Regions from separate parts of the Mus musculus genome. Here all the other regions are reported to be linked to region 1. The links are microRNA targets in miRTarBase. Many come from high-throughput screens and were not tested one by one. Region 1 holds a microRNA gene; each other region holds the end of a gene's coding sequence.

Region 1 (10,215 bases):
GAAGCTGGGAGCATCCCAGCCCCAACCCCAGTCCTAGCTCCTTTAACCCTCACCCCCTGTTCAGGGCCCACAGCCTGGTTTGCTGCCAGGGAAGCTGGCGGGCCACTTTTTCACACACTTGGAAAACAACAGCCCTTCCTGGTTCCCAGTGTTCAGCAGGAGGGGCTGGAGAGATGTCCTCAGGTCGGGAGTCGGGGTGGGGGGACTGGCAGCACATGGCAGGAGGCTGCCTCAGCTTCCCCAGCCGCTTGCCAGCCTCAGAGTTGGGCTCTGACTTGGAGGCCAAGGCCTAGGAAGTTGGTTATATAAGTCAGCAAGACTCCCTGCTCACTTCCTCCTTCTCTCTGCAGTGAGGCCCTGCAAGCAGGAGGCAGGTGCCACTTTGCTCAGAATCTCTAGGCCCAGCAGGTTATGGTGACCATCCTGTGCTGGGACAGAGTGGTGTGTAAGAGTGGTCTCCTTGTCCACACCCTGCGGGACAGGCTTATGGGCAGCCTCCGTGCAGGCCACTGGGTTGGCAGCGAGCATTGGCTCCTCCCACACTCTGAGAGCTGCAAAACTTCATTAGAGGAAACAGGCGGCAGACCTGAGATCATTTGCCTACAAACTGCCCCCAGAGGGGAGCTGGCCTCTGCAGCCAGAAGAACAAATCGCCAGCATTTTTCAGTTTGTTCCACAAACAGTTCTCCAGTGCTGGCTAGGTGCCAGACCTCTACTACAGGCATGTCCCTGGAGTGGCCCAATCTACCACAGTGGACATTTAGGGAGCAGTTTGGTTTCATGTGCCACCTAAGGGTGGACCCTTTCTCCGTAGCTGGAGTATTGGCTTTCTTGGAATTCTTATGAACGAAGAGCAGCCTCTTTTAGGTTGGGATTTTCAGAAACGGCTTATTCCCTTTCTCCTGGTCTGTGTCACCCTTCACTCCTCCACCCGAGCGAGCAGAAGTTTCTCTGTCTTACCAGCCCCTGGGGTCTGAGATAGGAAGTGGGGACAGCTTCTTGTAGCACTTGTATGTCTGGGGGAGAAAGAAAGTAAGTGGCTGGAACATTCCTTTTGGTGGTTTTTATTATTATTATTATTATTATTATTATTATTATTATTATTATTAAAGACAGGATTTTTCTGTGTAGATCCGGCTATCCTGGAATTCTGTAGGCCAGGCTGGCCTTTAACTCAGAGATCCACCTGCCTCTGCCCCCCCCCCGAGGGCTGGGATCGAAGGTGTGTGTCAAGCTACTGCCACCACCACCCAGCTGTCTGTAACGTTCTTTTTATTTTATTTTTTTAAAAGATTTATTTATTTTATATATGTGAGTACACTATAGCTGTCTTCAGACACGCCAGTAGAGGGCATCAGATCCCATTACCGATGGTTGTGAGCCACCATGTGGTTGCTGGGAATTGAACTCAGGACCTTTGGAAGAGCAGTCAGTGCTCTTAACCACTGAGCCATCTCTCTAGCTCCAACTGTAACATCCTGTTTGTTTGTTTTTGGTTTTGTATTTTGAGACAGGATTTCTCTGTGTAGCCCTGACTGTCCTGGAACTCACTCTGTAGACCAGGCTGGCCTCAAACTCAGAAATCTTCCTGCCTCTAACTTCCAAATGCTGGTATTAAAGGTGTGCACTACCACTGCCCGGCTGGCTGTAACATTCTTAAGAGAGTGGCAAGGGCGTTTCAGTTTACAGCTGGACAGCAATCCAGGATTAAGACTCAGAAGCCACTAACAGAACAGGGGACCCTCGTGCACGCTGTGGGAGATACATCTGATAGGACTCAGAGATGCAGTGGGAGCTCTGTGGGACAGGCATTCAGCAGGGACTGGAACCCTGCCCCCCATGGTGGCTCGAGTTTCATAGCTTTCAGTAAGGAGTTTCTTAGGAATGCAGACTACTTCAGACACACACACACACACACACACACACACACACACACACACACACGGTGGGGAGAGAGAGAGAGAGAGAGAGAGAGAGAGAGAGAGAGAGAGAGAGAGAGAGAGAGAGAGAGAGAGACCTGGGTTGAAGCTAGCTATAGTAGTGCAGGCCTATAATCTAAGCACATGGTAGAAGGATGAGGTCACCCTGCTCTGCACTGTCAGCTCCAGGCCAACCAGGGTGGCATTGTGGGTCCCTCCCCCACCTTTTTTAGTTAACAAAACAAAAACAAATAGGTCAAGAAATCAAGGGGGAAACTGTCACAAACAAGCAAGCAAGCTGCACATATCTAAAGCTACTGGGCAAATGGCACCGGAAGCAAGATTACTGGGGGCAGCAGGGGTTCAAGCTTCCCTCCAGCAGAGCAGATCTTGCAGAAGCCCACTGGAGCAGAGTGCAAGGCGGGGGTGTGGGGGGGTGTTGTTAGTTTTAGGAGACACAGCCTCTGCTTGGGCCTGTGGCCCGGAAAGAGCATGTGTGCTGGTCTGTGTGGTTTAGAGTGCCGTCTTTAGGGACACTGAGGCCAAGCGGTGTGGGAGAAAGGGCAGCAGGCTGGGTTTGCACCCCACCATACCTGTCTCTGTCTGTGGGTGAGATGCTAAATTGTGGGGAAGTGGTACCCCTTCTTTCTCACTGTAGTGACTGTGCTAATGAGTGCACCCAGAACTAACAGGGCTCATCTGGTGGGTAAGATTTTTGTCATGAGTCTGTGTGGCCCCAGGGCTGTGGGAGAAAACTGAAGGCATTTAAAAAAAGACTTAGTAAGGAGAATTTTGATTTTTTTCTTTTTTGGCAAGTTTTTTTTTTCAATATCCTAAAAAGGACAAAGCTGATGACACGTTATAATCAAGCAGTTAATATGCACACTGCTCTTTCTAGCATGCAGCAGCGAGGTGCCTTTTCTGCAGCCATTCAGCAGCTATGATTGAAATCACCCTTTTGCAGAATGAACCCTGTTGCCGGGAATTTTCAGAGGACTATGGTGAGCCCTGTCCTGGCCACAGGCGGTCCTGGGTTTCTCCAGCCACAGCTTCTTTATGAATGAGATGGTATCTGGGACAGAGGTTACCTGAATCCACACTCGCTGTAGAGAAACCCATTCCCTGTCCTGGGCAGGCTCAGCTCAGACATCCGGTCTGAACGGTGAGGTGGGCATGTCTTCTAAGGCTGCTCCTTGCAACCAGCTCTGGCCTGGGCCAACCCACTGGTCTTCTGCCTGGTCTGTGGCTCAGTATATGGCCTGGAACCAACCCTTTTGTTTGGAAACACACCAGACCAAGGCCTTCCCAGCTTAAAAGCTCACCAGTTGTTCCCTACAGGAGCATCTCTGGTTTTCAGGTGGTACCAAGAACCCTGCAGTTCCTGTCCCTAACTTCCTGCCTGCTGTCCCCACACTGTGGACACTGGCTTGACCTCAATGGCCATTGACTTTCCATACCTGGGTGTCTGTCAGATCAGGCTTTGGGCCTGAAGAGCCCTACCCCCTAATTGATAGGAGCTTCTTTATATGTTGTTTTCAAGATGTGATTCACTATATATAAGCCACTTTGGCCTTGTACTCAAGGTGGTCCTCCTGCCTCAGCCTTCTGAGTACTAGTACTGTGTGCTCTTATACTTGTCTCCTTCCTTGCAACCTTCCATCTCCTCCACCCAGCACACGCTGAGACAGGATCTCCTGTACCCCAGGCTGGCCTCAGATACACTATGCATTTGAAGAAGCCCTTAAACTTGTGATTCTCCTGTCTCCACGTCCTGAATATTGGGATTGCAAGCGTGTGCTATCGGATGGATTTATGTGTTTCTGGGACAGAATTGGTGTGAAGCAAGCCTCCTGCCAGCCACACTGCATCCCTGGCCTGCCTCCCTTCCTTGGACATCTTTTCCAGGTGTGGAGCTGCTCTGTTGGAGGCTGTCCTTTGGGCCGGAGTTAGGGAGGGAGGCCAGAGAGGGCTCAGAGGAAGTGGGCCTGGGCTGCTGACCCAAAGGAGAAGTACCCTTTCCTTCGTCTCATTTCCTTCCTGGCCCTGGTACTGAAAGAAAGCAGGCAGAAGCAGTAGAAAAGAGGAAATACTTTGAACTGGGGACTAAGATCTCCCAGCTTGGAGATGATTTTAAAAGTCCCAGTTCTCAAGCCCCTCTCTCCGTCCTCTCCTTTTCCTGTACACAGGACACCTTCTGCCCACACAGGCTATGCAGACAGAGGCTACAAAGCTGACCTGGCCTCGTCCTGTCTTTACAGCTCTATCGCATGCACGCTGGAACTCACCATCTTCTTATCTGTCTCATTGGGTTTGAGTTCAAGTCTTGGCAAGAGCTCTTGCAGCTCTGTAACTCTGGGCAAGTCACGGCACCTTTCTGAGCCTTGGTTTCTTCTGCATACCATAGAAAGGATAATACCTACCTCATAGGGTGGTGCCGCTCTGTGGGCGAAGGGCTGAGCAGGTATCTTTGATAGCACCTGTGTGGCGAGTGGAAGCTACTTTCAGGTCAGAAACTTCTTGAGAGAGTTGACCAACACCTGGGCTAAGGCCAGGGCACACAGTGCCACGCCAGCTTCTTGAGACTGCCTCATTTTTGCACTTTAGGGGATCCTTTTTCCCAGCTCAGTGCTGGGTACATTAGTAACCAAGTTACTGTCTTACTTACTGTTCTATTGCTGTGAAGAGACACCATGAGCAAGGCAACTTATAAAAGGAAGCATTTAACTAGGAGCTTGCTAACAGCCTCAGGGGGAGAGTTCATGACCATCATGGCAGGAAGCATGGTGGCAGGCAGGCATGGCCCCAGAGCAGTAGCTGAGAGCTTACATCTGATCTTCAGGCAGGAGAGAGAGAGAGAGAGAGAGAGAGAGAGAGAGAGAGAGATTGGGCCTTGCTTTTGAAACCTCAAAACCCACCCCTAGTGACACACCTCCGAGGCCACACCTCCTCCAAGGCCACACCTCCTCCAAGGCCACACCTCCTAATCCTTCCTCAAACAGTCTGCCAACTGGGAACCAAACGTTCCAACATACAAGCCTATGGGGACCACTCTCGTTCACACCACCATGGTTTCTTTCTGTGTACTTTCCGTAAGGAATTGTGGATGAGCTGTATCAGTGAAGTCATCAAGAGTGCCGGACAGAGTGGGAACAGGACAACTGAAAGCAAAGCCTGGTTTGTGATGTGGGACTGGAAGTGATAAAAGCACGTGGGAGGCCCAGGAGGTGGACAGTGAGGACGAGGTTGGGCAGTGGGAAGTGAGGTGTGCTCAGCGGGAGTGCACAGACACAAGGCCCTGAGTGTGCAAGGCTTTTGCTCTGAAGCGCTTCCAGGGTCTAGTGCTTTCTTGGATGTCTGGCGAGAAGGCAGGGCAGTGGCTGTTTCCTGCTGTGCAGGAGGATCTGTCATGATTTCCCGAAGCTGCTGTTCTGACCAGCTGCTCAAGTCCTTTCACTCTGTGGCCACTGTCCTCTGAGTGTCTGCGACCGCTTCTTCCCTCCGGGGTGAGTGGAGACTAGGCTAGGGTGGCAGAGGAGGTGGGAGAGGAGGCCCACGCTCAGGTCCATTTTCAGAAATGAAGGGGGTCAATTTCTCACCTGCTCCACATGATCACAGTCCTTCTCTGAAAGTGTCTGAGGCATGGCTCTTGTAAGAAAGTCCTTGGTGTGTCTAGTGCATAGTTGGTTTGCTCTTACTGTCTCCTTTTGCAAAATGAGGACTGTTTTAGGATTTCCATTGCTGTGGAAAGACACTGTGACCAAGGCAAGTCTTATAAAGAACAGCATGTAGTTGGGGAAAGCTTACAGGTTGGGCAGTTCAGTTTATTATTACCAAGGCAGGAAGCATGGCAGCATCTAGGCAGGCATGGCACTGGAGAAGCTGAGAGTTCTACATCTTGATTGGACAGCATCCAGGAGAAGACTGACTCTCTCTTCACTGGGCGGAGCTTGAGCTTAGGAGCCTCAAAGCCCACCCCTACAATGACATACTTCCTCCAACAAGGCCACACCTCCTTCAATAAGGCCACACCTCCTAATAGTGCCATGTCCCATGGGTCAAGCATATTCAAACCGCCACAGAGATGAAATGACTTACTCCGCATAGCCACTGAGACTATGGTATGTGCTGGCTGGCAGGTGGGGTTCTTAGCTACTCTGGGTTGCACGTGCCGCTGGGGGTAGGGGTGGGGGTGCAGATCCTGCCAGCCCGCTGGAAGGATCTTCTCTAGGATATGCATCAGGATCACCAAGACCTCCACTGGTGTGGCCTTTGTGAGCAGCAGGCCCCGAACTCAGCTGAGCTTGGCTACTTCAGAAGCTGTGACAAGACACACAGACCTGGACCATGGCGGGTACGGTTCTGCACCAGGAGAACTCTTCCGAGCCTCATCTGTCTGTTGGGCTGGGGGCAGGGCCTTTGTGAAGGCGGGTTATGCTCAGATCGCCTCTGGGCCCTTCCTCCAGTCCCGAGGCAGATTTACTTCGAGGCAAAACTGCACACCAGCTCCAGGCTCCTCTCAGGACCTCATCTTTTGTGTCCCAGGGCTCAGAGCCTTCCTGAATCTGTATAAGAAAGATCATTTGTGTTGTTCATTTATTAGGTTGTTTTTTTTTGTTTTTTGTTTTTTAAAGCAGACATCTGGGATGGGGGTGTAACCCATGTATATGGCCCTGGGCTAGATGCCCAGCACCTATAAACAGTGTGTAGTGGTGCATGCCTGTAATTTCAGCACTTGGGAGGTAAATGCAGTACACGCTAGGAGGGTGACCGGCATTATCAACTGTGGGGCACAGCTGGACTGGAAAGGGACGATCAGAGCCCACATGGGGCTCTCCGTGGGGAAGGGCTAGAGGAAGCCTGGCCTGGCCTCCACTCCAGTCGCTGGTTGAGGAGTCTGATTGCTTTAGGGCTTGCAGCCACTTCCAGAGCAGCTCAGCTGAACTTGACAGCTCAGTGAGGAAGCCAGCTATGTTCTCTTCTGCAGTCCCAGTGGGGGCTGCCCGTCCTTCCCCAACGTCAGTACCCAATTTATGGAAGAAAATTGGGGAGAGCAGGTTGTGGGTTACGAGAAAAATCAGGGACCTGGTTATTAGGCTAGGTTTCAAATCCCATGTCTAGCTGGGATGGTGGTCCACACGTGTAATCCTAGCACCAGGGGGACGGACGGAGCAGGAGATCAGTTCAAGGCCAGCTTTGACTATGTGAGACCTTGTCTCAAAAAAAAAAAAAAAAAAAAAAAAGAAAAGAAAATTGAATTTCACCTCTTCTGCTTGTCAGGTCAGCAAATGTTAAATAGTTACATAATTTTCCTGAACTTTTGTTTTTATCTTAAAAGTGGGTTAATACTGTATCCTTCCTGCCATGGGATTGTGGTAAGCCTCAAAAGAGATACTGTAAGACTAAACCCAGGACCTGGCACACAGTAGGTATTCAGATTGTGCCCAGCACATTCCCATAGCCCTTATTACCTTGTATGCTGCCTGCACCACACCCACCCGCCTGTGCCCTGTGTCAATGTGTGCTTGCTCCCCGAGCTTTCTTTGTTTGTCTTGTGACCTTTCTCAGCCTCTACACAGCACCTATGAGGCACTTCAGAAAGGGCCAGTAAGAAGAAAAGAACATTCTTTTAGGTAAAAACTGTGCACCTACTGTGTGTCCCCGCCGGGGAGCTTCTGTGTGGTTTTTGCCCTGCAGAGCCCCAGTGGTTGTGACTGTTGCTAGGCTCCTGGAGGCCAGCAACTTTGTACTGTGCAGAGCCCTGTAATCATATTGCTGTTAGAGACACGCTGACATCTGCCATCTCCCTGCTGTGGAATGCCAGCGCCCTGGGATCTGTGTCTCCAGGTTCCAGTGCCTGGCAGCAGAGGTATGCAGCGTAAATTCCATGCTGAGAACATAGCCGAGGCTTGCTTTTCTCTCTCTCATTAAGTCAAGCCTACTTCCTCGGTCTACCCAGCCATTTTCTAGGTGGGGCAAGTCTTTCCTCAGGTTCAGATTGGGTAGACAGATAAATCAAGTGTTCTGCTGGGTCTTGGAGGAGGTAATGCTGGAAGTCAGCTGTGTTTTCAGCGGGTCTTCCATCTGACCCGTGCTCTGTCTGCCTGGGGTGGAGAAGTGACAGCCCAGACGTTCTGTTTCTAGCAGACCCTCATTGCTGGCCTCACAATGGGTTTGGAGCTCTGTGCAAAACTGTTTATGTTTCCACAGCAGAATTTATTGCCCAGCCTGGCCTTCTGCAATTAATTATAAGCCAAACAAATAACTTGTCTCTAGGAGGCTGGGGATCGGCATAAACATTTATGCCAGTCCAGAGGCTGGGTACTTTCCTCTGGCCTTGGGAACAGAGGGGCAGGATGGGGTGGGTCCACTTCCTCCTGACCCCAGGAGGTCTTGTATGTGTGTTCTCGCTCTCAGTCTTCCAAAGTATCCCAGAATAGGGTTCCCACTTGTAAAGGGAGACTCAGGCAGAGAGTTAAGCAGTTTGTCCAAGACCACACAGCTTGCAGGGAGGGCTGTCCATCTGTCCATCCACCCATTCAAATATTTATTTACTAAGCTCTCATCAAATGGGAAGTTGTTTTCTAAGCTGACTGAATTTGTAGGCACAAGGTGGTAGCCTCGGGGCCCAGGCACGTGGCTCAGTTGGTGGTGTGCTTTCCTGGCATTCATGAAGTCCTGGGTTCAAGTCTAGTGCTACATAAACTGGTCAGGTTGGCCACCTACCTGAAGCAAGAGGATCAGAAGTTAGAGGGAATGGCGGGCGTGTTGGCACATTCCTTGAATCCAGCACTCAGGAGCCAGAGGCAGGTGGATCTCTGAGTTTGAGGCAAACCTGGCCTAAAAAGCCAGTTCTAGCTACACAGATAGTGATGACGATGATGATAATGATCATTATCACATTATTATTATTACTTCTTTTACTGTTTGAGATTATGATGTAATTACAGTATTCCCCTGTCTCCCTTTCCTCTCTCCACACCTCCTCATTCAACTCTCCTTGCTCTGCTTCAAATTCATGGATACTTTTTCATTAGTTGCTGTTATGTCTATACATATATATATGTTCCTAACTGTGACCTGCTCAGTGTGGTACTGTCTGTATCTTTTTAGGTATGACCATCTGTATTGGATAACCAATTGGTGTGCTCATCCTTGGGGAAGATGGCATCTCCCACTCTCATCCTCCTTAGTTACCTGTGTGTGCAGGGCTGGGCTCTGATGGGATTCCAGGCTCTGCAGCATGGTCGTTGTTGTTCTTATTTGCTTCATGTCTAGTTAGTGAGACCTTATCTTTAAAAAGATGTTCTAGAGGCTGGTTCAGTGACTCTAGAGCACTGACTACTCTTTCAGAGGTCCTGAGTTCAATTCCCAGCAACCATATAGTGGCTCACAAACATCTGTAATAGGATCCGATGCCCTCTTCTAGTATGCCTGAAGACAGCTACAATGTACTCATATTAAATAAATAAATAAATAGATAAATAAATAGATAAATGTTTGAGAGAGAGAGAGAGAGAGAGAGAGAGAGAGAGAGAGAGAGAAAGATGTTCTAGGGTTCAGCCTCAATTACAGAGGTAGGGAGTTTGAAGACCCTATCCAAAAACAGAGGAAGAAGGAGATGGTCTGTGAGGGCCATCTTGTTTGCCTTATACTGGTGGCCTCATGGTAATGGTGATTTTTACAGGCAGGGGTGTGTGTGCACATGTGTGTGTGTGTGTGTGGGGGGGGGTGAGGACTGAACCTAGGGACCTGTGTATACCGGGCAAGTGCCCTAACATTGAACTACAACCTTAGCTCCAGTTTTATACTGTTCAATGCCTCTTTGTTTTCACTGTGACCCTTTGCCGGAGGTCAGGTATGCAGTTTTCCCCTTGAGGCCTGTTGATGCTCACAGAGTTTCAGATTTGGGAGTGTTTAGGCCTTTCAAATTAGAGAGCATCAACCTACTTCCTGCTGTTGGGCTAGGTGGCTCAGAGGAGGTGCAATTTGGCATGGTCCGAGGCTAGATGGCAGGAAGAGGCAGCGGGGATTGAAACCAAGGATGTTTAAGATTGAGAAGTGAAGGCACTGGCAGCAGAGAAACCCTCACTAGCGACTGCTCTGTGCCCATCTATGCTGGTTCTGTTTTCCAGCTCACTGTGCAGCCAGCCCAGCTCTGTAGTCTTGCTCATGGATCTCTAGGGCCATCTGCTGGGGGCCACCTTCCTCTGTGCCGAGGAAAACAACAGGAGAGATGAAAACTCCGGGCACTACTGCAGATTCCTGCCTCGCACATGGGGTGTTTGGCCTCTGGTTT
Region 2 (10,215 bases), not on the chromosome of region 1:
CGCTCTGTCCTGCTCAGAACACACTGGCACCTTGTCCACCCTATGCAACAACTTGTCAAACCTGCAAACAGGTTCTTGGACTGTGAATAGCCAGGGCTGAGACTGTGTGTTTTTAAGATGTGTATTTCCCAAGTCTTAACATGATCATGAACAGCGGTTCAGCAGACTGATAATAAGACAAAGTGGGATCTCACATAAGGATCAGAAGTGATTTAAACTGTCCGGCCTGGGCTGGGGAGACTGCTTGCCATTGAGTTGGGATCCCCAGCACCTAAGTGAAAACCAGAAATGCTGGTGCAAATCTGTTAAGTCCCCAGGCAGGTGACCCTTGTGGGTCCCCAGTGACCAGTGGGGCAGCCATTGGTGAATTTCAGATTCAGTGAGAGAGCCTTGATAAAATGGGGTGCCTAGACAAATGCTCTGAGCTCTGGCCCCCACAGCATATGTGTGCATATCTCCATGCACACCATATGCACATTCACAATCACACACTGAGACCACACAGCTTGGACTAGGGATGTACCTCAGTGGTAGACCATGTGATTAGTTGTCAAGCAAAATAAAATGGCAGGCTAGGCTGTAGCCCAACATAGACTACATCTTTTTCACTTTGACTCCCAACAGCTAGCTAGTTACTGGGGCGGAGTTCTATTAAGATATTTGATTAAGGTCATGATGAGAAGGGAAGTCAAGCCACTTAGCTCTGGTCCCATCACATAAGAAACATCTTCTGTTCAGGCAGTGGGAGCAGGCCACTGGGCCAGTCTTAGGGAGCTTACAAGGGTGTGTGTGCGCACTAAAGACAACGAGGATGCCAAATCCAAGAGGCATTTATTGTAATGAGTGTTCGAGGAGGGTGGAGTAGGCGGAGTTCCCCCATCTAATCCTCTGAGGCTCAGGGTGACTCATTCTTCCTTGGACCCAGGGGCGGGGTTGGCATCTGTTCCCCGAGTTGGGCCCTGCTCCCCCAAGCCAGTGGCATTCCCAGTGTCTCCAGCCACTAAAGCCACGTTCCTCAGGTAGTTGGTATTGAAGCAGTTGATTTGCTTATCTTCAGGAGACAGGTCACAGCAGAGGGCAGGGTCTTTCCACGAATTCCTCCGGGGACCACAGAGGTTCTCGATGAAGGCCAGTTTCTGAGAAAGCAATGTAAAGGGGGCATGCTGGGGCATGGGGAGGGCAGAAGGTCGGCATGGCTGCCCACTGGGATCCCTCTGGAGGCCCAGAGGCTGCCAGCTTCCTTTCCACAGCAGGACTGCCTGCTTGTCCCTGACAGATGTGTACATCTGGAAATGCTAGAAGCTTGAGGCCCAGGGCAGGGACAAGAGGTTCTCGGGAAGGAAGAAGCCTTCTAGAACTCCGAGAAATGATCTATTCCACTCAACCTGACTTCTGCGAACAGGCTTGAGGTACTAAAAAGAGGGGTAACCTCTACATCTAGCCTTCTGATTCCCTGGAGCCTTGGAATCACAGGTCACACACACTCACCTCCTCTTCGCCGCAGCAGGCCTGTTCTGGATATGGAAGCTCGCAGCAGCGGATGGTCATATTCTGGATCAGCCCCGGAATCTGTTTACTGTGGTTGGTATGAAAGAGGAAGAGCTCAGGGTCTCTGTCCCTTCCACAGCACCCAAAGCCTGCTGGGGTCGGTGGCTTATGCCTGTAATCTCATTACTTGGAGTACAGGGGAAAGAAGATTGGTCCAGTTCAAAACAGCCTTGACCACGGAGTGAAACTTTCACAATAAATAAACATCTCCTCACCCCAACAGCTCAAATGGAACTGGGAAGTCATGATTTTGACCTCCCCAAGGGAACCCCCGGGGAGGAGGAGGTTGTGGATAGGCAAGAGTATCAGGACTCACTGCTTGCTAAGGACCCTTCCACTTCCACAGAGCTGGCCCATGAGGTTGGGGGTGACTCGGCTGAGGTCAAGGGTCAAGATATCCCGGTCATAGTTGGGATAGGGAGCTAGGTGGGCGAAGCACTCATCACGGGCAGGACTAGGAGGGTAGTGGCAGCACGAGTGGGGGTGGGTCTTTATAGCCAGCTCCCGCTCGCAGTATCCATCCAGGGTACCCTCCCACTGTGGAGAGAGACAGAAGTGAGAAAGAAGCCTGCTGCTTGGCTCCTCCTCCTTACCACACCTTAGCCTTTCAGCTATGAGATGAGGCCCCAGGAGCTAGAGGGAGGTCAAAAGGGAGGAACACAGATGAGGCTCCTAATTGGCCACTGGAGATGAGCTGGACCAGTAGGTACAGAGGGTCGGGTGAAGCCATAGCTGGACGGATGGACGGCAGACAGATGCATATGTGGGGTCACGGGTGGATGAAGTCAGGATGGAAGCACGAAAACTCAAGGTGAACAGACTTGGATGACAGACACAACGGACGGATGGATTGACGGAGGGACGGACAGTCACAAGCAGACGAAAGTGGATGAATGGCTGTAGAGTCAGCGGTTGGAGCTGGGTGGGCAGACAGGCTCCCAAGGTGGCCGGGATGCCCACTTACGGCCTTCCATGTGCAAGTGTGGTTGTGGCCCTGGCGGCAGCAGCGCTGGAACTCCGTCTCCAGCCGAGTCAGAGCCTGCAGCTGCCTCTGGATGGCGTCAGTAGCTGGGAGGTTGCGTGGCACGGCGCGGAAGCGTCTCAGGAGACAGATGTTTTTGACATTGTCCGGTGTGGGCAACCCCGGGGGGAAAGGCAACTGGGGCCCTGAGGACATGCCATTCTGGTGGACGGGGCAGGGTCGGAGCAGGTAGTCTGGGCGAGGAGCTTCCTTCTGGAAGCAAGAGAATCGCTCCTCCCCACGCAGTCTGCAGCACAGGTGGGGGCGGGTCTTGACAGAGAATTCGGCCTCACAAAATTGGGTCATTGCATCCTCCCACTAGAGTGAGAGGGGTGGGTCAACCCAGTACCTCATTGTTCATATTTCTGCCTCCTCCCAGGCTCCAGGAAAGGACTCTAGGCAGGCAAATAGCAGTACAGCCGACCTGTGCTCCATCTGTACCCCGGGTGAAGTGTGGAGCACTCATGCGTGTGCACGCAGACACACACACACACACACACACACACACACACACGCATACACACGCATGCACGCACACATCCAGCAGCAGCAGCAGCCAAACCCTTACCACAAGCTTCAAACAGTCTAGGCGGTTTGTGTCGCTGCGGCAGCGACAGCAGCGGGAGTATCCGGTCTCCAGCACATTGAGGGTCTCTCCCTGGCGACTAAGGTGAGAGTAGCCAGTCTGCGGCAGGTTCCAGGGGCCGTAGATCACATGCTGACGCTCAGGAAGGCAGATCTGCTTCAGATTGTCTGGAGAAGGCCGTCCAGGAGGGAAGCCATCCAGCCGGTGGCCCCAGACACCTCTCCGTCCCTGCTGGCAGTGACGGGCTGGATTCCAAGTCCGGGGCTCTGGAGGGAGCTGGCCCGCCAAGGTGTGTGGCTTCACTGGAACAGAGAAAACAGTGGGGAGGAATGCATGCAGGCTGGCTGAGCATAGAGCATTGGGAGACCTGGGGTTGAAGAGAAAGGGCTGGGATAGTATGTGGGCTTCTTCAGTTCAGGGTCACTGAAAGGAAAAGGTAACTGCGACCCTCAGGCCAGCATTAGCTCCTTCCTGGGGCTCAGGGGCTAACCGTGGGAACAGACAGACCAGTGTGGTCACTCACCCTCTTTCTGGACAATCTCCTCCTGAGGCTGGGCAGGCGGGTCTACTGGGGTAGAGGGAGGTGGGTAAGCAAAAGGCTTGTTGGGATGGGCTCCTCTAAAACACAGGCTCCTGCTAGTTCCCATGCACGATGGAACACAATAGAGAGGCCAGAAAAAAACACGACTGCTATTTTACACCATTGACAGAGCTGTTGGACAGGCATTGTTTCCAACCGTTCTTCTCTTCTCTTCCTTCTTTAAAACTGGGCCTCATGTACTCATATGTCCCAGGCTGGCCTTGAACTCAGTAACGCTGACCCTGGCTGTCTGGGAACTTGCTCTATATACCAAGCAGGCTATATACCCCTCAGAGCTCTGCCTGCCTCTGCCTCCTGAGTGCTGGAATTAAAGTCACTGCCCAGCCTAAGAACAACCTTTGAAGGTCTGATGTTCATGTCAGTGCCACTACATCCAGTTGATGGAGTGCGGGAGAAAGCCAGCCTGGACTGTGTCAGACAAGCATTCCACCGACTGTACAGATAGAGACTGAGCAGCTCAGGAGAGTAAGTCCCATGTGCCCCTCCTCCCCAAGCCCATGGGCTCCGCAGGAAAGCTGTGCAGGAAAGAGGCAGTCACTCACTTTCCTTCTGTTCAATATGGACTTGGGGAGGGGGCTGCTCTTTCTGCAGGGGGATGGCTTCTTGAGGGACAGCAGGACCAGCTGCAAGATGGGGGAGGGCACAAGGGAGGGAGGTCAGGCTAGTGTCAGCATCACAGTGGGGTGGGCGGGGGTTGGGGGGCAGGGAAGCACTCACCTTTATCTACATTAGGGTTTAGGAAAGTGGGCCAGTCTTCCTCGTACACAGGGATGTCTTCTGGAGAGGAAGGGGGCTGCACTACAGAACAGGCAGTTGTGAGGCAGACAGTGGGGTGGGGGGGTCCCTCCCTTCCTGAGGAGCAGGAAGTACACTAGATTAGAGGTCTCAACGGGAACTGAGAGGGCTTTGGGGCAGCCTCACCTTCTCTTTGTTCCTCAAAGAGGGGAGGGTCATGCAGAGAAGTTACAGAGTGGTCAACTCGGAGTCTCCGGGTTTGTGGTGGGGAAGGGGGTGCTGCATAACCTACTAGAGGCAAGAGGGGAGACACTCAGAGCCTCCCAATTGCATGCTTGTTCCCCACAAATTCTACAGCCATGCTGTCCTGAGCACCCGTCTTCATCCGATCTGGTTAGTTCTGAGGCTCTCACCTTCATGGAGGTGCTGGAAGAGGCGCTCTGGCGTCATCTCTCGCTGGTCTGAAGCCTTGAAGGCTAGAGGAAGGAAAGACAAAAGTCAGGCAGTTTTGAGGCGTCCTTTCCTGGTCCTGGACAGAGGATGGGGAGGCTGTGGAGGCCGAGACTGTGGAAAGCCCGCTGTGGGGGAGCCACCTGTCACACACCTCCCCTCTGAGTGGCTGGGTTCTGAGTTGGGGTCTAAAAGAATGTGGCTGGGAATGGAGGTCTGATTTCCTGTCAGTATCTCCCTTGGATGGGGCTTGTGGCTGCCGTCCCCTCCAATGCGCTGATGTTCCAGGATCCACCTCTCTTCAAACTTCTTCCTATAGGCCTTTAAAAATACTTTTGGCCTTTGGGTGGGACGGTTAGCCAAATGTTTAAGTGCCTTCCCCTTCAATCTCAGCTTATTTTAGGTTTCTTAAACAAGAAAAATATTATTTGTGTATGTGTGGAGGGGGCCAGTGTGTCACCGTGGTGATGTGTATAGGTCAGAGGACAACTTGTGGGAGTCATTTCTCCCCTTCCATGTGGGTTACTGGGACGGAATACAGGTCACCAGGCTGGCAAAGCACCTTCACATCTGGAGCTGAACCGAAGGCACAAACCTAGGAACCAGGACAGCAGCGAGGTGGAGCTGTCTCAGACACGGCTATCTATAGAAGGATCTAAGTCTCTGTCCTGTCCAGAGTTGGTATTTCCTTTTGTTCAGACTTCAAAGCAGTGCGTGTGTGTAATAGGGGGTGAATGTGGGTGAACTCTAACTCGTCCTCTGACCAGAGTGAGCCAGTCTAGGCTCCCTGGCTCGGTAGGCTGAGTTTTAGCAGCCCGAGGGCTTCTTTTCCTCCTCACCTGCCTCCTCGTCCCTCCTCACGTGTTCTGACAGGAGGATCCTCACCCTGTAAACTCACCTGTCTTGTGTCTATTTGACTCTAATTTTTGTGTTTCTTAGCAACTACCTCTAGCTATTCTGCTCCTGTTCCAGCCTCCATGGTTAAAGGTTCAGCCCCACTTCACAGTGACATGTTCATATAAAGGAAGCCAATCACCCAACTGCTGAGCTCTTTGGAGCCAGACTCTTAAGCAACTGCTGACCCCACCCCGACTCACCTCCCTCAGAGGCAGCAGAAGCAAGAGCCAAGCAGGCCAAGATCAAGGCTGCTCTGGATACGGTCCCCATCCTGGGGCAAGAACTGGTCACTGGTCACCCAGAAGCTGGTTGTCACAGGCAGATCTAGACTTGAAGGGGTTGGGCCACTTGCTGCAAGCCTGCTCCCCTGGCTGTTGCTACTGCCGTTGTGAACTTCAAGGCCTGCTGTCTGTCTCTCTTTATATGCTATCTCCCGCCCCCCTGTTTCCTGCCATGACTCAGTCCCTGCTGCTCCTCCTCTTACAGCCACTCCTCCCAGACTCCTGGAGCCTCCTTAGCCTGGGAAGAATGGAGGTGATGGAAGGGAGCACTCCTGGATCCCCTCCAAACTGATGCAGAGGATCATGGAGCAAGTTGTCATCTGGACCCTTAATTTGTGCCTCAGTTTCCCATCTGCATACTGTCCTTTATAAAGAATGGATCTGACACTCTCCTGAGTGGGAGTGGGAGGAGAATGGCTGCCTGAGGCAGTGCCCTTGCTGGTCAGAGGCCTCAGTATCCCTTTGCCTCAGGTCTGGGAAAGAGGGAGTAAAGCATTCGGACTCAGATGAAGGCACAGCCTTGGCTTCAAGTATATTTTTATTCTCCTTCTATCCAGTCAGTACAGCATTCCTTTCTGTGGGGAGCCCCCACACCATGTCTATTTTCAGAGAGCAGTTCTGAGGCCTCGGGGACATGCGGGGCTGCCAGCTGGGTTACTGTCCCGTGGAAAGGGACGGACGGCTCTCATGAGTCTGTACATCACCAATGGACATGACTCAGAACACTTCTTCTGCATTGGGGACCCTGGCGTTCTGTAACTCCAGCAGTCTCTGCACGGACTCGGCCAGGTCTCGCTCCCCGAGCTGCCGGTTATCTCGCGTGCGTACGTTCACTGTCCTTTGACTCTGCTCTCTCTGGCCAACCACTGCAGGAAGAGGAAAGATTTGCAAACCCAAGCAAAAGTCACCCTATGGGTTGTTTCCTTTTGCTTTGCAGAAACTTCAAACTCCTGAATCTTTAGGAAAGGTAGGAGCAGAGCCTAGCCGTGGCTGAAGCCCATGCTTAGCTCGCCTGCCCTGCTGCTGACTGTCCACTCTGATGAGATAAGGAAGTGGGCCGGGCTTTACTCCCCTCTCCCTGCAGGTCAGGAGCCCAGGGCTGGGAGATACAGAGTCAGTTAGACAGAGACAAACATGGAGAGCTACACAAAAAGAAAAACTGTATGTGTGTGACCTGGGGGGAGGGGTACGGTACAGGAAGGGGAAACAGCAGGGCGGGGCTTGCTCTCAGTGCTGCCAAGGCAACGGGCATGCGTGATGCCCCAGTCAGGCGGTCTGGCTAGGAGTTTCTGCTTCTTGCTTCCAGAGGCCCAAGAGTCAGGAGCAACTTCCTTCCCTAAGACCTTTCTTGTCCCCTAGAGCTGCCTCCACCCACACAACAATAAACAAGGCAATTAATTAATGCCTTTATTGGTTTTGGTGCTGGGACCTAACTCATTGGAGGCCAGTGCTCCACCACAGAGCACTACAGCTTCTGGTTCACTGATAATCTTGCTACATACAGCCCACAGTGGCCTCACATGTTTGCCCTCCCTCCTGTACCTGCCAAATCCTGGGATTACAGGTGTGCCTACCATGCCTGGCTTCAACTGATGCCTTCTTAATCCTCTCCTGTCCCTTCCTCTTTGATGCTGGCCTGGTTAATTAACTTACAGAAACAGCCTAGGGTAGGGTTAATGAGAAGACAACTGTTCTGAGGGATGGAATAGGTTGTGGGAAGGAGCAATGGAAGGCAGGCAGATTAGTCAGGCTCCTACCCAGCCCAGGTAATGAGTCCCAATTAATTCAATGTACACAGAGCTAAACAATAGAGTTAGTACAGAGAATGCAGAGCTTGGGGCTCTGAGGTCTACGACTAACCCTCTTACCAAACTGAAAGTTGTAGTGGGCAAGCTGGGCCCGGCGGACTCTCCGGCTGAGGGTCAGTCCAGAGTCTGCATCGAGATCACTCACAAGTCCTGCAGCCTGCAGGCACTGTTGCACCTGGGATACAGATTTGGTGATGAGTAAATCTGAATGGAAGCTGAGCTATGATGGTTGGTTACTATTCTTCCTCGGATACTTGTCTCACATCCCCACTTCCTCCAATGCTCTCAGGAGCTGGCTAACTGCCTCTTCTCTGAGATACTGAGGCCTCCTTCCCATCCCTGACCTAAAACCTTTGTGTGCTTCTCACAGAAAATGAAGCCTCAATTATTCTTTGGGCTCTGTCGGTTGTTAGGCACCCATCTCCCAACCAGCTGTTCAACTCTCGTCCGTCCATAGTTTCTCCATAAAGAACCTCATGCGGCTCAGGCTGTGGACCTGTGCACAGCATGACCTTTCCTGATGCTCCTCCTGCCAAGTGCTAGGACTGCAGGCTCCTGTGGTGCTGCAGACTGAGCGCACTGCCTTCTGCACACTAGGTAAATATGCTACCAACTGACCTACAGCTCTAGGCTCACCCCTAACTATTTAAAAAGGGTCTTACTATAAAGCCAAGGCTGAACTCAATTTTTAGATGGAGAATGTTTAGCACACGGGAAAGCTGCCCTCAAGCCCTTCCCACTCTCCTGCAGAGCCTGTCTCACCAGGGATGCATGGCAGATGCCCTGCTGTTCCTGATCTTCTCTCAACTCACCTGCCTGGCATATTCCTCTTGCTCTGTCCTCACAGGGATGACCACCACCTGGAGCGGGGACAGCCACAGGGGCCTGTTGGCAGGAAAAAGGGGCAGGAAGTTATTCACTTTGGCTTTAGCCATTAGGCTTAGGTGTAGCTGTAGGGAGATCTGAAAAGGAAATACATAGGATAAGGTCAGAACCTAAGGCACGAACTTTCTGGCTGGAGAGAAGAGCAGAACTCTGGTGGCCAGTGACTCACCATTTCCCCCCACAGCTTTCTGCCAGCACTCCCAACAGCCTTTCCACAGAACCAAGCACTGCTCGATGAATAAGGACTGGACACTCTGGGGTACCTGCCGGCCTTGGAAGAAGGGGAGTGGGTGAACGGTGAAAGTCTCATGACCTGAGCCCAATCACTTCCCGTTACCAAGAACACTCTCTGATGGGGTAGGGTGTGGAGGGTTGGCTCAGTGTGAGGAGCAGTCAAAGGCAGGGGTGGGGGGCTGAGCCAGGGTCTATACCCCTTGTATTGTAGGTCAAATCTCAGTGGCAGCTGGAAGTCAAGCTGGATTGTTCCACACTGATGGGGCCGACCAAGGGCGTCGTGGAGGTGCACATCAATCTAGAGAAGATGGGAAGGGGAGAGACTCAGACCCAATAGCTTTCATTAGCTCCATCAGCCAATCTTCTCTACCCTGTCCCTGTAAGGAGAGCCGTGCCATGCAGACAGCCAATACTCCTTCCTTCCTCTCCACCTATGATGAGAGACTATCCATACCCCAGCCTCTTAATTCCCTGAGTTCTTCCTGAGACCTATACCTCGCCTATGCTGCGCCACACCCCGTCTTCTCTCTTAGTGGCAGTCGGATACTCTCTTGTAGCTGATGATCTACCACTGGCTCTGCAGCCCCTTTCCCATCGGCAGTCCCATCCCCCGCTTATGCCCTGCTCAGCTGTAATAGTCTCCAGTTCCCCTCATTCCCACTGCTTTGCTGGCTGATCGATGAGACAGAGCCCTATCCTGCTAGTCTTCTACTCTCCCATGTCCTCAGCCCTGCAGTACAACTGCTGAGGGCCACTTAGCATGTCACACGCCACCTGCCACAGATGCCAAAGCAAAGACTGATGCCACCATAGAAATCAGTTCAAGATTCAATTGGTCCCATGCAAAACCTTTTGCTCTATTCTCCTTGGGGATTTTCAAACATTTTCCTCTCTCAGCCATAGCTTGCTTACCTGATTTCTCTATTTCTCTCTCTCTCAGTGTGTGTGTGTGTGTGTGTGTAAGAGAGAGAGAGAGAGAGAAGCTGTCTAGGAAAGGGAATGGCAAACATGTGAGTTCCCTGGAGATGGCCCACCATTTTGCATGGCTGCGGTGGGTGAGCTCTAGGATGCAAGGTCAGCAGAGACTGCATCATCCCAGGCCTGCTCCTTGCTGCTGATAAGCCTTTGCTGTCACTGTAACACAGTCTAATGATGCCTGGGATTCAGCC
Region 3 (10,215 bases), not on the chromosome of region 1:
CACCCGGCATCTTGTGAGGGTTGAGTATACTGAAAGATGAGCTAAAGATGTCAGAGTAGCGGGGCTGTCAGAATCCAGAGGGACCCCTAGTTAGCTTGTAGAAGCTCAGTTCACCCATGTAGGTCCTAGCATAGAGACCTACAAATGGTATAGAAAGGTATATTCTTATAATCCCAGCATTCAGGAAGCTGAGGCAGGAGGGTTACTATGAGTTTGAGGAAAAAAAAAAAGTAGGGACAGAGACTAGCAAACTCCACTGAGTAGCGTCTGCTCTGACCTGTCTTCTGCCTGCTGAGCTGTCTTCAAGGAGCAAACCACAGAAACCCCACTTCCCTGTGAAAAGCAGGGTCAAAGGCATGCCCGCCGCTGGCCCTTCACGCCTCTAATCCTTGTTGCTAAGGCAGTATCCCATAGCCCTGGTGTCCACAGGAGCCCTAGAAAGATCTTGGTGGGTAGGGCCAACCTGGGCACCTCTGTGATTGGCCCGTGCGGGTGTCTGGAGAAGCAGTGGGCCAGGTGTGTAGAAGGCTTGTTCCTGAGGGGAATGCCTGAGGCTGCCATCCGGTGAGAGACAGCAGGGACAGGAAAGGGAGGCCTCCTGACTAAAGTACCTGCCCACCGCCATCTAGTTGCTGTCAGCTTTACGTCATGGCTGCAGGCCAGAAACCCCTTACCCAAGCCTCAGTGCCCACCATGGGTCCCTGTGGTTGGCATGGGGAGTCTTAGGGACCCACAAGACAGGACTCCCTGCCCAGCCCCTTTGCTGTTCTCGGTTGGGAGTGACCTTCAGCTGCCTCTGCAGGCCTGTGCTCCCTGACACAATGGCGCTTTAGCCGCCACCCTGGTGCTTGAGGGCATCCCTGCTCTGCCGAGAGTTGCTAGTTGGTCCACCCCCACCCCGCTTCCTGCTAGGCCCCAGTGGGAAAGATCCGATAACTTTTATCCATATCCCTTAAACCTGGTTAGCCAGGCTGCTAGAAGCAAGCCAGGTTAGTTTGCACAGAGGGGTGTTGTGTCTTAGAGGCTCTGCAGGAGCACTTTACTGGTGGCATGGTGGCTGTTCCCTGTACTTCCCTCAGGCAGGACCTCCCCTATAGATGCACCCACCCTAGAAGAAACAGCCCACCCAGGACAAGCTGCTGCTGCGGGCTGTTGTCCATTCTCCTAACCATGGCACTCAGATTAGGCTGGGGTGAACACTCTCTGTGATCGTCTCTGAGCCTTGATTTCTAGCACTATACATTGGAGTGAGTTTTGTAAGACACAGAGCTCCCTGTAGGCATAGCTCCAGCAGACCTAGGAGAAGTGGGAAGAGGGGCCCTCAGATATGGGGTGGAACTTCCACTGCCATCAGGGTGACCCCTATTAGCACGAGCACTGCCCTTCAGGGGCAGCCTGGGTGTCTGGGGATGGGTGGGGGCGTCACTGGGCCTGGGGCGAGCAGGCCCTTTTCACTCAGCTGTCTCTTATCTTCTCTATCCCTCCGGCTTTTCTCCCTGCCCCTTTCCTCTGCATTTGCCCTGGGTTTGGCCTCGGGTAGTGCTGACGTACGGCCCATACGGTAGGTCTGCTCTCTGCTCTGTCTGCACGTCTGTCCTGCACGTCAGTCTGCTCCCGTCACTGGCATGCCTTTTTGTAGCCCCGCGTGTACCCACTCCTCCAAGCTGGCACTCCTAGGTGAGAGCCCCGAGCACCTGACTGAGAGAGCTGCCTTTGCAGAGCTTGGCTGCCTTCGTTCCATTCTCTGGTTTTGAAGTACACTCTGCTCGGTTCTGGAACACAGTGCCCCTAAAGTAACAGGAGGGGCATTTAGTAGTGTTTCTGAGAGAGTATGAGTCCCATTCACGGCCTGGGCCCAGTGTTGAGCTCATCGCTCCAGCTGGGCTTGGTGGCCTACACTGTGTCCCCAGTCCTACCCTGATGCTGTGGGGCACAGGTGGATGAGTTAGAAGCAAGTCAAGGTAGCGAGTTCCTGCCCTCTGGGAGGGACAGCCAACAGGCCAGCCTGCTACTGTACCTGAGACCTGGTTCAGCAGCCATCCCAGGCTAGGGGTCACAGCCTAGCACTAGAGCTTGGTGGGCCAAGTGACTGCCTGCAGCTTTCCCGTCCTGCCCTGTCTTCTCCTCCCTGAGTGCTATGTTCTGCCCCTTTGTCCTAGCTTCCTTCACAGCTCCCCAGGTCTCTCCTGGTCAGCAGCAGCCTTGGTGTCCTGTCCCTTTCATGTCCCAGGAGCACTGGGGTGGGGTCTGTCCCAGGAGTAGGGGCAGGGACTGACCAAGTCTTCCTCCTCCCACTCCGGCCTCATGTGCCCCCCCCTCCGCCCTCCCCTCAGGCCGCTGCGCCCCCATGAAGAGCATCTCCAGCAGCCTCAAAGAGACCATGAACCCACACGATATTGTGCAGGACGCCATCCACAACTTCTCGCCAGCCTACCAGCAGTACACGCAGCAGTCCACTCTGGAGCCCGGGCCCACCTGGCGTGGCGGCACGCACAGCCTTTCCCGCTCCCACAGCCTTAGTGGTGCACGCGACAATGAGAAGACTCTGCTGCTCAGCTCTGATGATGAGTTCTAAGTGTGGGCCCTGGAGGGGAAGGAGAGGTGCTTCCCCCAGCCCCCAGCCAGGCTGGGGAGCAGAGCAACCAGCACAGCATGGCTGCTGCCCTTTTATTTATTGGACCAGAAACTCGCATATCACTTCCAGAGGAACAGGCCTCAGGAATATTTCTCCCTGGCCAGCCCTGCACTAGCTGGGGCAGGGGCAGAGGACAGCGGCTGTAGCTGTCACATCTCTGCGACTCATCCTGTACCGTGTGTTGGCCAGAAGCTGCATCCTAAGCCCCCTCCCCAACAAGATATCTGCCGAGCTGTCAGGCCCAGCCCACCCTACACCGTGCAATACCCAGACCCAGCCTGGTCTTTCCCCAGGCCTTTGCCCGCTTCTCCCTGGTCACCCTTGTCCAGTGTGAGTTTTGTCACATTCTGGGCAGGTAGAGACGTGAATGCTCTGTGGACCCTCCCCCTCTCCCAACCTAGGCCTGTCTGGCATGCTGCAAGGACCAGAGCCAGCCCCCAGGAGCCTCAGGGCCCACTTAGGAAGGATGCCTTGTGCCTATGGGCCCTTTGGTGACATGTGGGGCTCTGGATCCTTGGGTGTCCTCACTGTGGCCACTCTGCCTGCTGAGGACAGCCAGAAGCCCACACTGCCCTCTCACTTGGGTCCAGTTCTTGATAGTTGGGGGCAGAGCCCCCACACTCCCTTATACTTCCTGACTGTGCCAGGGCTTGGGTTCCCCACCACCTCCTCAATGGAGCAAAGACTCCTGCTAGGCCCTGGTCTCCCTGGGGTTTATCCCTCCTGGGTCATGGGAAAAGTCAGTCTCCACATTACAGATCACTTCCAGAGGGAGGCTGGAGGGATGGTCATACAGCGGGGCCAAGGTAGGGGTGGTCTCAGACCCTCCTGGGTCCCCTGACCATACAGGGCCTGGTGGTCTGCTCCATCTGGCCCCTGGCCCATCTCTTCTGTGCCTTAGTCACATATGAAAGCCCCTCCCCAGTTCCCGTCTGCTCCAGGCACTCCTCGTTGAGCTGCTGGCACTCAGGGTTCCGCAGCGCTGGGTTGGGCATCCTTGGGACCACCCACCCTCTCCCTGGCTCCCTCTACACGCACATCCCAGAGCTGCCTCCCAGGGCTGGGATCTCAGAGGTAGGGTGGCAGGGGCCTGGTAAGCAGAATTCAAGCAGCACTTGGTCTTGGCTCCAGTAGCCTCTTGAGGTGGAGAGTGGTGGGGAGCCCTACCTTGTAGCCTTCAGTGGATGCTCTCCCCTTGGTCACCTCTGGAACAAACAGGTTCCTTCCCTGGGGTCCATAGGGAGGGACCTCATGGGGCTGTCACATCCTAGCAACCTTCTTAGCCTCCTTCCTTCCTTCCACACGGCCCAGAGGCCAGCTCGGCCCCACCCAGAGGGCCTGGCCAGCTGCTCCCAAGCCACCCAGGGAGGCAGCAGACAGGTGGGAGCTCCTGGGGCACGGCCGTGGGATTGCTTCCACCAGTGTGTTTCTGAGACTTCTCCTTATCTTCCAGGCCAAAGTATGTTGCTGCTTCCTGTCTCCACTGGTCCCCACCTACCCTGGCACTTGCCCTGTGACATGATGGGTGAGGCTGTGGGGGAACTCAGTGGCAGGAAGCTAGTGGTCCCTGGGAACAGGGGACAGGAATCCGTACCCAACTGCCCCGTTCTTTCTTCCCATTCTTTCTTCCTAGGATGCATAAACTATCTTGTCTCATTTATTTTTTAATTTTTTTTCAGATAGAGTAGCTCTTTGTACATAAAAAAAATACTTGAAAATTGTATGATGTATGAGAAGACAGAGCCCCCTAGTTTTGTATTTTGTCCTGTGACTGCCATGCGTTCCACCAGAAAGCCGCTCTATTTTGGTCTCTGTGATATTTTAAATGCGTGACAGAAGCAAGCAAATAAAGTCAGGAAGAAATATATATATGAGATAATATAGATTGTATTGAAATCTCTTCTGCCTGCCAGCGAGGTTTTTTTTTTCTTTTCCCCTCTTGTCTGGGAGAAGTGTAGTGGCCGTGGGCAGAGACGTCCACCCTCTCTCTTCCTGTGTGTGAAGTGGATGTAGGTCATGGGGGCGTTTACACCGTCTGGGTCTAAAATCAGGTCCCACATCCCTATTTGACAGTTTCTTCTCTCTTCCCAGACAGCCTAACACGGGGAATTTCCTCTCCCCATCCCTGAGAGGGCTGGGCCTCAGTCCTTGTTTTTTTCCAGAGGCAGGTGGTCACCTCTTCTGTAAGGCATCTCCCAGAAGACTTGCACACCTGCCTCATCTTCCCTGAGCCAACCCTCCATCCTTAGGGACCAGGAGCCTAGGGCAGGAGCTCCTGGTCATGGGTACCTTCCCTGCATGCACCATGCCTTTCCAAGAGCCTGGCCTATGGGTGACAGGCATGACTGGAATGCACGTGGGGGAGGGAACTTCCTAAGCAGCCTATAACCCGAAGGTAAACGGCCTACCTACATTGTCTGTGCACACCCCCACCCCCACCCAATACCCCTTCCAGCTGCCAGGCCTCTCAGGAAGAAGTCTTGGCACAGCCCCAATCTGAGGGGGAGAAAGTTCTGTGGGTCCAGCCAAGCCACGTGATCGGGCTCTCCCCTCTGCCCCTTTCTTTGGCCTCTTCCCTCACTCCCGGACTTGCCACATACAAGATTCCTCTAGCATCTCTTGTGCTTTTAGGTTTTGCAGCCCTTCTGGCTTTTCTAGACTAGTCCTCTATAGCACCGTTATAGTAAAGTGACCCCTCCGGGGGTCGGCCAATCCTTTCATAGGGGTTGTATATCAGATATTTACATTGTGATTCATAACAGCAGCAAGGTGACAGTTATGAACTAGCAACAGATTATGGTTAGGGGTCACTACAACATGAACTGTATTAAAAGATCCCACCATTAGGAAGGTTGAGAACCAGTGTTTCAAAGTAAACTGGAGCTATAAGAAACCAGGCAGTACCACCCAGAAAAACCCTACTGCCCTGGCTGAAGACCAGAGGAGTCCACCCCTCACCAGGATGGCAGAGTCAGTGAGTATGCATACAAACCCATCCCCTGACTGAGACTGAAGCCTAGCTCCCAGAACTCAGTAGTTCTCTCTCCCTGGCTCAAAAACACTGGGATGTAGTTCCCACAGGGCTGTAGAAAATCAGACTTGGGGCTGGAGAGATGGCTCAGTGGTTAAGAGCACCAACTGCTCTTCCAAAGGTCCTGAGTTCAAATCCCAGCAACCACATGGTGCCTCACAACCATCTGTTATGAGATCTGACGCCCTCTTCTGGTGTGTCTGAAGACAGCTACAGTGTACTTACATAAAATAATAAATCTTTTTTAAAAAAAATCAGACTTATGTGAAAGTAGAAGGAAGACAGTTTTCAAAGCTTAGGACCTGTCTCTCCCTGGCTCTGTACAGTCTGAGCTCATTTCTTGCCTATCTCCATCCACACCTGCTTGTGAGAGCTAGCAATGGGATATAGCCTCCCCTCACCCATAAGTCCCTTCCCACCCATCCGAGGCCACTCATTTAGAGCACACACAAAATAGTCCAAGACATACACTTCTCTTGTGGAAAAAGAGAACTTGACTTTATTCAGAAAGTCTACAAAATACTCAAGGCAGATAACTGGCTCACTTGAAGTCAGAAAATAAATAAACTCTGGGAGCTGCGCAAATTTTTTTTTTTTTTTAAAAAAAAAACCTATTGTTGCCACCCAGCTCTCCCTAAATATAAGATTAAATGTGATTTATTTGTAGATATAAAATATAAGTCCAGCTCAGGGCCCACGTATTTCCCAGGGAAGAGGAGCTGGACTCTGGCTGGTGAGAATAACTTAGATTCGTGCAATAAATAAGAGTGTGGAAGAGTCAGCTGTATACAGTGTTGGGAAGGTGCTAGGGCTGGACTTCCCAGGGGGACAGTGATCAGCACCCTCAGACCACCACAGATACTCTGGACCAAAGTGGAAGCCGTAACTCCAGGTCACCCCACACCCACCCCATTCTCCTGCATCAGGACTGTAGTGTTTGCCTCTCTCTACCAGTGGTCGTCTCCATCCATCTTTCTCTGGCTGGCCAGCTCCTCACCTCAACCCTTTGTGTCACCTTCTCTCTCCTTCAGCTTCTTTCCCCACCACACAGCTGTCTCCCAGGCCCGGGAGGCTCTCCTACCATGTTATTCAGTCCCGGGGTACTGTTCCCCCTGTGAAAGCCACGCTTGGAATGTTCATTAAGGCAGCTGTAAGAAGGCCCCACTTGGGTTTGCAGCTCAACAATTCCGTGCTCAGTGGCCTTAGGTCGTTTTGCCTGACAGCTTCCCCATGTGTCAACTGAGCTCCATTGATCCGTTCCAAAGACTCTTAGCTTGGGAAAGCCTGGCATTCCCAAGTCTCAAGCACAGTTGGGAGGTCTGCTTCCCAGCAGGACAGTCTCACAAGGCCACACCTAGTCCTGGGTCCTGGGAGGGTCGGAAGGGCATGCTGGCACAATCCAAAGCCTCTTCCACCAGCTCTCCTTCTGGCCACACGACCTCATTTTCAATTTGAGCCGGACTTTCAGCCCAGGGAAACTTAGAACCCTAACGCCTCCCCCCACCCCCAACTTAGCAAAGTTGCCCCTCCCCAGGGCCATCAGGTCCCAGTTTGGGGGCCTGCAAGAGTCAGAGCCCAGGAAAGGAATGTGAAGTCACTACAACGAGTGGCAGAGGAAAGGAATGGGAAGCAGAAGGAACTCAGGCACTTGAAGAAGGGAGTGGCCTCCGAGGGGTGTGGTGGGGTGGGGGCGGGTACTAGGAGCAGGGGGCGGGGTCAGCAGCAGGGGCTGGGCCCGGCGCCGACTTGACGATGGTGATGACGCTGGCGGGCGCCACCAGTGCGGCGGGCCCGCGGGCGGCGGCCACGGAGCGCGCGAAGCCCTGCAGCGCTTCACACTTGCCGCGCAGCGCGTCGAGCTCCAGGCGCATGGCGGCGTTCTCGCGCGCCAGCTTGTCCACCTCGCGCTCCAGCTCGGACTTCTGCTTCTGCAGCTCCTCCTTCTGGCACACGCGCTTCACGCGGCAGCTGGCCGCGTAGCCGCGGTTCTTGAGTGTGCGGCGCCGCTGCTTCAGCCGCGTCACCTCCTCCGCCGACAGCCCGCGCAGGTTGCGGTTCAGCTCGCGCACCGACAGCCCCATCAGCGCTTCATCCGACAGGTGCGGCGTGTTCTCGCTCAACTCGCGCTTGACCTGAGGGCCATGGGGAAACAGAGGCACGGGGCCCGTGCTTGAGGATGCCGCCCCACTTCCCATGGCGCCCCCCTTCTCATTGCGCCCCCACTCTCCCCGTTTCGGCGGTTACTGGACTTGAGCCAAGACCTTGAAAGTTAGCAGGACCAGCATCAGCCTACAGGAGGTCACCCAAGGCTCAAACTAACCACGCGTCAAGTCCTGGACCCAGCTGAGAAACCCAGCCTGGAAAGCCCCTTGCAATGGGGGAAGCGCGCTCAACAGGAAGTAACCTGCCTCTGCTGCTGAGTCGCCTTTGGGGCTTCCAGGAAGGAAAGGGGAATTGGGATGTCGGTGCTCTACCAGGAGCAGCAGCAGAGAGAGACTACAAGGAGCTAGCAGCCTCACCTTCAGGGCTTTGCTAGATAAGGGATCCACAGCCATTTTCGCAGAAGATGACCTCTGGGCTGGAGACCTGGGAGAGAAAGAAGTTCAGGGTCACCTTGGTTGGTGTGTTCATGTTTTACTTACATGAGTAAAATCCAATCTCCGGACCTGGCATTCAAGGCTTCTATCTCAGAATTGATAGCAACCTCCGCTGACCCCAACGATCCAGCCTTCGCTCTTGCTCTCCCTGTATTGCCCCAGTTCCCCATAATGGCTCATTATCTAGGTCTTTGCCCAGTGCCACCTTTTCAGAGGTGTCCTAATGGATGGTCTGTCCCTCCCCATCCCCTTCTCCACCGAAGTTCCCGTTTCACTGCAGCCTCTCCACACCAAGGTCAGTCAGTGCCTGTATACACTAGGTACTCAACAAATGTGAACTCTCCTTCCACTCTCCTTTCCCACATGGGGCCAGGGTATGCATGCAACTTTTGGGTTTGTTTCAACTTCTTTTTACATTTATGTGTGCGTTAGTCAGGCACACCAGCGCTGTGACAGTTGTGTGGCGCTCAGAGGATAATATGCAGGAGTCAGTTTCCACCTGTGGGTTCTAAGGAATCCATCTCAGACCCTTGGGCTTGGCTGCAAGCCCCTTTTACCCACAGAGCCATCTCACCTGCCTTCTTTGTCTTAAAGACATGGTCTTACCATGTAATCCAGGCTGAACTTAAACTCACTATCCTCCTGCCTCTGGGAGTCCCAGACTCCCTGGGTCTGCCCATCACTGCTCAGCATGGTCCTAGAGCGTGGCTTGCAACCTTTCTAAAGCTGCCACCTGTTAACAGTTCCTCATAGTGTGGTGACTCCCAACCATACAATTATTTTCATTGCTACTTCCTAACTGTAATTTTGTTACTGTTAATGAATTGTAGTATAAATATTTGATATGCAGGATACCTGATAGGTGACCCCTGTGAAAGGGTCATCCAACCGCCAAAGGGGACAAGACCCATAGGCTAAGAACACCTGCTCTAGAGGGAACAGCAGCTATCCCCTAGCCTAAAGCCAGCCCATTGGTCCTAGAGCCTTCCCCATGAGCCTCGGAGCCTCACATTCCTTTAGTGGCCATTTTCTGAATAGCTGTAGTTTGCCATGGACAGGGACTGGGGAGACAAGTGGATAGAAACTCATGGAGGGAAGCTGGTGTGGTGCACACCTGTATCCCGCACCCTGGAGGTAGAGGGCCAAGAAGGACTTAAAGGCTACTGTTGGCCTCATAGCAACTTCGAGGCCAGCCTGGGTTATCTCTCCAATCATTTTCCTTTTTTTTCTGCACTAGAGATAGAACACACAATGCACAGACATGTATGCAGACAAAATACTCATACAAATAAATATTCAAAGGGCTGGAGAGATGGCTCAGAGGTTAAGAGCACTGACTGCTGTTCCGAAGGTCCTGAGTTCAAATCCCAGCAACCACATGGTAGCTCACAACCATCTGTAATATGATCTGATGCCCTCTTCTGGTGTGTCTGAAGATAGCTACAGCGTACTTACATATAATAATAAATAAATCTTTGGGCTAGAGCGAGTGGGGCCAGAGCGAGCGGGGGTCAACCACATGATGGCTCACAACCATCTTTACAGTACAGTGTACTCCTATACATAAATAAGTACATTTAAAAGAGCAAGTGGGAAACCCTGAGTTTGGATCCCCCAAAACCTATATAAATACAGGGTATGTGTGGTGTCCACTTGTAATTCCAGACAGGGGTAAAAAATAGATTCCCGGGCTGGGGAGATAGCTCAGCGGTTAAGAGCACTGACTGCTCTTCCAGAGATCCTGAGTTCAATTCCCAGCAACCACATGGTGGCTCAAAACCATCTGTAATGGGATCTGACGCCTTCTTCTGGTATCTGAAGACAGCTACAGGGTACTCGTCATATATATAAAAAATAAATTAATTAATTAAAAAAATAGATTCCCCAGACCAAGCTAACCCATATAAGACCACAAGCAGTCATGGACTGCAAGAGCCAACCTCTGGCCTCCA

The links. Region 1 holds the annotated microRNA mmu-miR-326-3p (CCUCUGGGCCCUUCCUCCAGU, at 6,363-6,383, shown strand). A microRNA usually pairs through its seed, bases 2 to 8, with sites in the 3' UTR of a target mRNA and lowers its output. Matches are read on the target gene's strand: a 7mer-m8 pairs with bases 2 to 8, a 7mer-A1 pairs with bases 2 to 7 and ends in A, and an 8mer does both.
Region 2: the mRNA of Tars2 is a reported target of mmu-miR-326-3p. The part of its 3' UTR that is shown has no 7-base or 8-base seed match.
Region 3: the mRNA of Maff is a reported target of mmu-miR-326-3p. Seed matches in the 3' UTR shown: 7mer-A1 at 6,641-6,647 and 7mer-m8 at 6,234-6,240.

What each region holds. Positions count from the first base shown.
Region 1 is chr7:99,545,966-99,556,180 of GRCm38, forward strand. Mir326 (microRNA 326) reads left to right here and starts at 6,304; the gene lies at 6,304-6,398. All of the region lies in intron 1 of Arrb1 (arrestin, beta 1), which reads left to right.
Region 2 is chr3:95,733,335-95,743,549 of GRCm38, forward strand. Tars2 (threonyl-tRNA synthetase 2, mitochondrial (putative)) reads right to left here. Exons shown (of 18, transcript NM_027931.3): 14 at 9,244-9,344; 15 at 8,982-9,083; 16 at 8,740-8,812; 17 at 7,988-8,102; 18 at 6,640-6,985. The coding sequence ends at 6,837. It overlaps Ecm1 (extracellular matrix protein 1), which reads right to left and starts at 6,235. Exons shown (of 11, transcript NM_007899.3): 1 at 6,039-6,235; 2 at 4,905-4,967; 3 at 4,678-4,782; 4 at 4,474-4,554; 5 at 4,299-4,379; 6 at 3,679-3,723; 7 at 3,138-3,457; 8 at 2,513-2,887; 9 at 1,865-2,085; 10 at 1,489-1,576; 11 at 813-1,136. The coding sequence starts at 6,108. The coding sequence ends at 906. It overlaps Mir7014 (microRNA 7014), which reads right to left and starts at 1,639; the gene lies at 1,577-1,639.
Region 3 is chr15:79,355,004-79,365,218 of GRCm38, reverse strand. It overlaps Maff (v-maf musculoaponeurotic fibrosarcoma oncogene family, protein F (avian)), which reads right to left. Exons shown (of 3, transcript NM_010755.4): 2 at 8,186-8,252; 3 at 6,143-7,798. The coding sequence starts at 8,221. The coding sequence ends at 7,364. Tmem184b (transmembrane protein 184b) reads left to right here. Exons shown (of 9, transcript NM_172608.1): 9 at 2,334-4,535. The coding sequence ends at 2,575. Among named protein-coding and RNA genes, the nearest start is that of Maff, 13 kb to the right of the region's middle.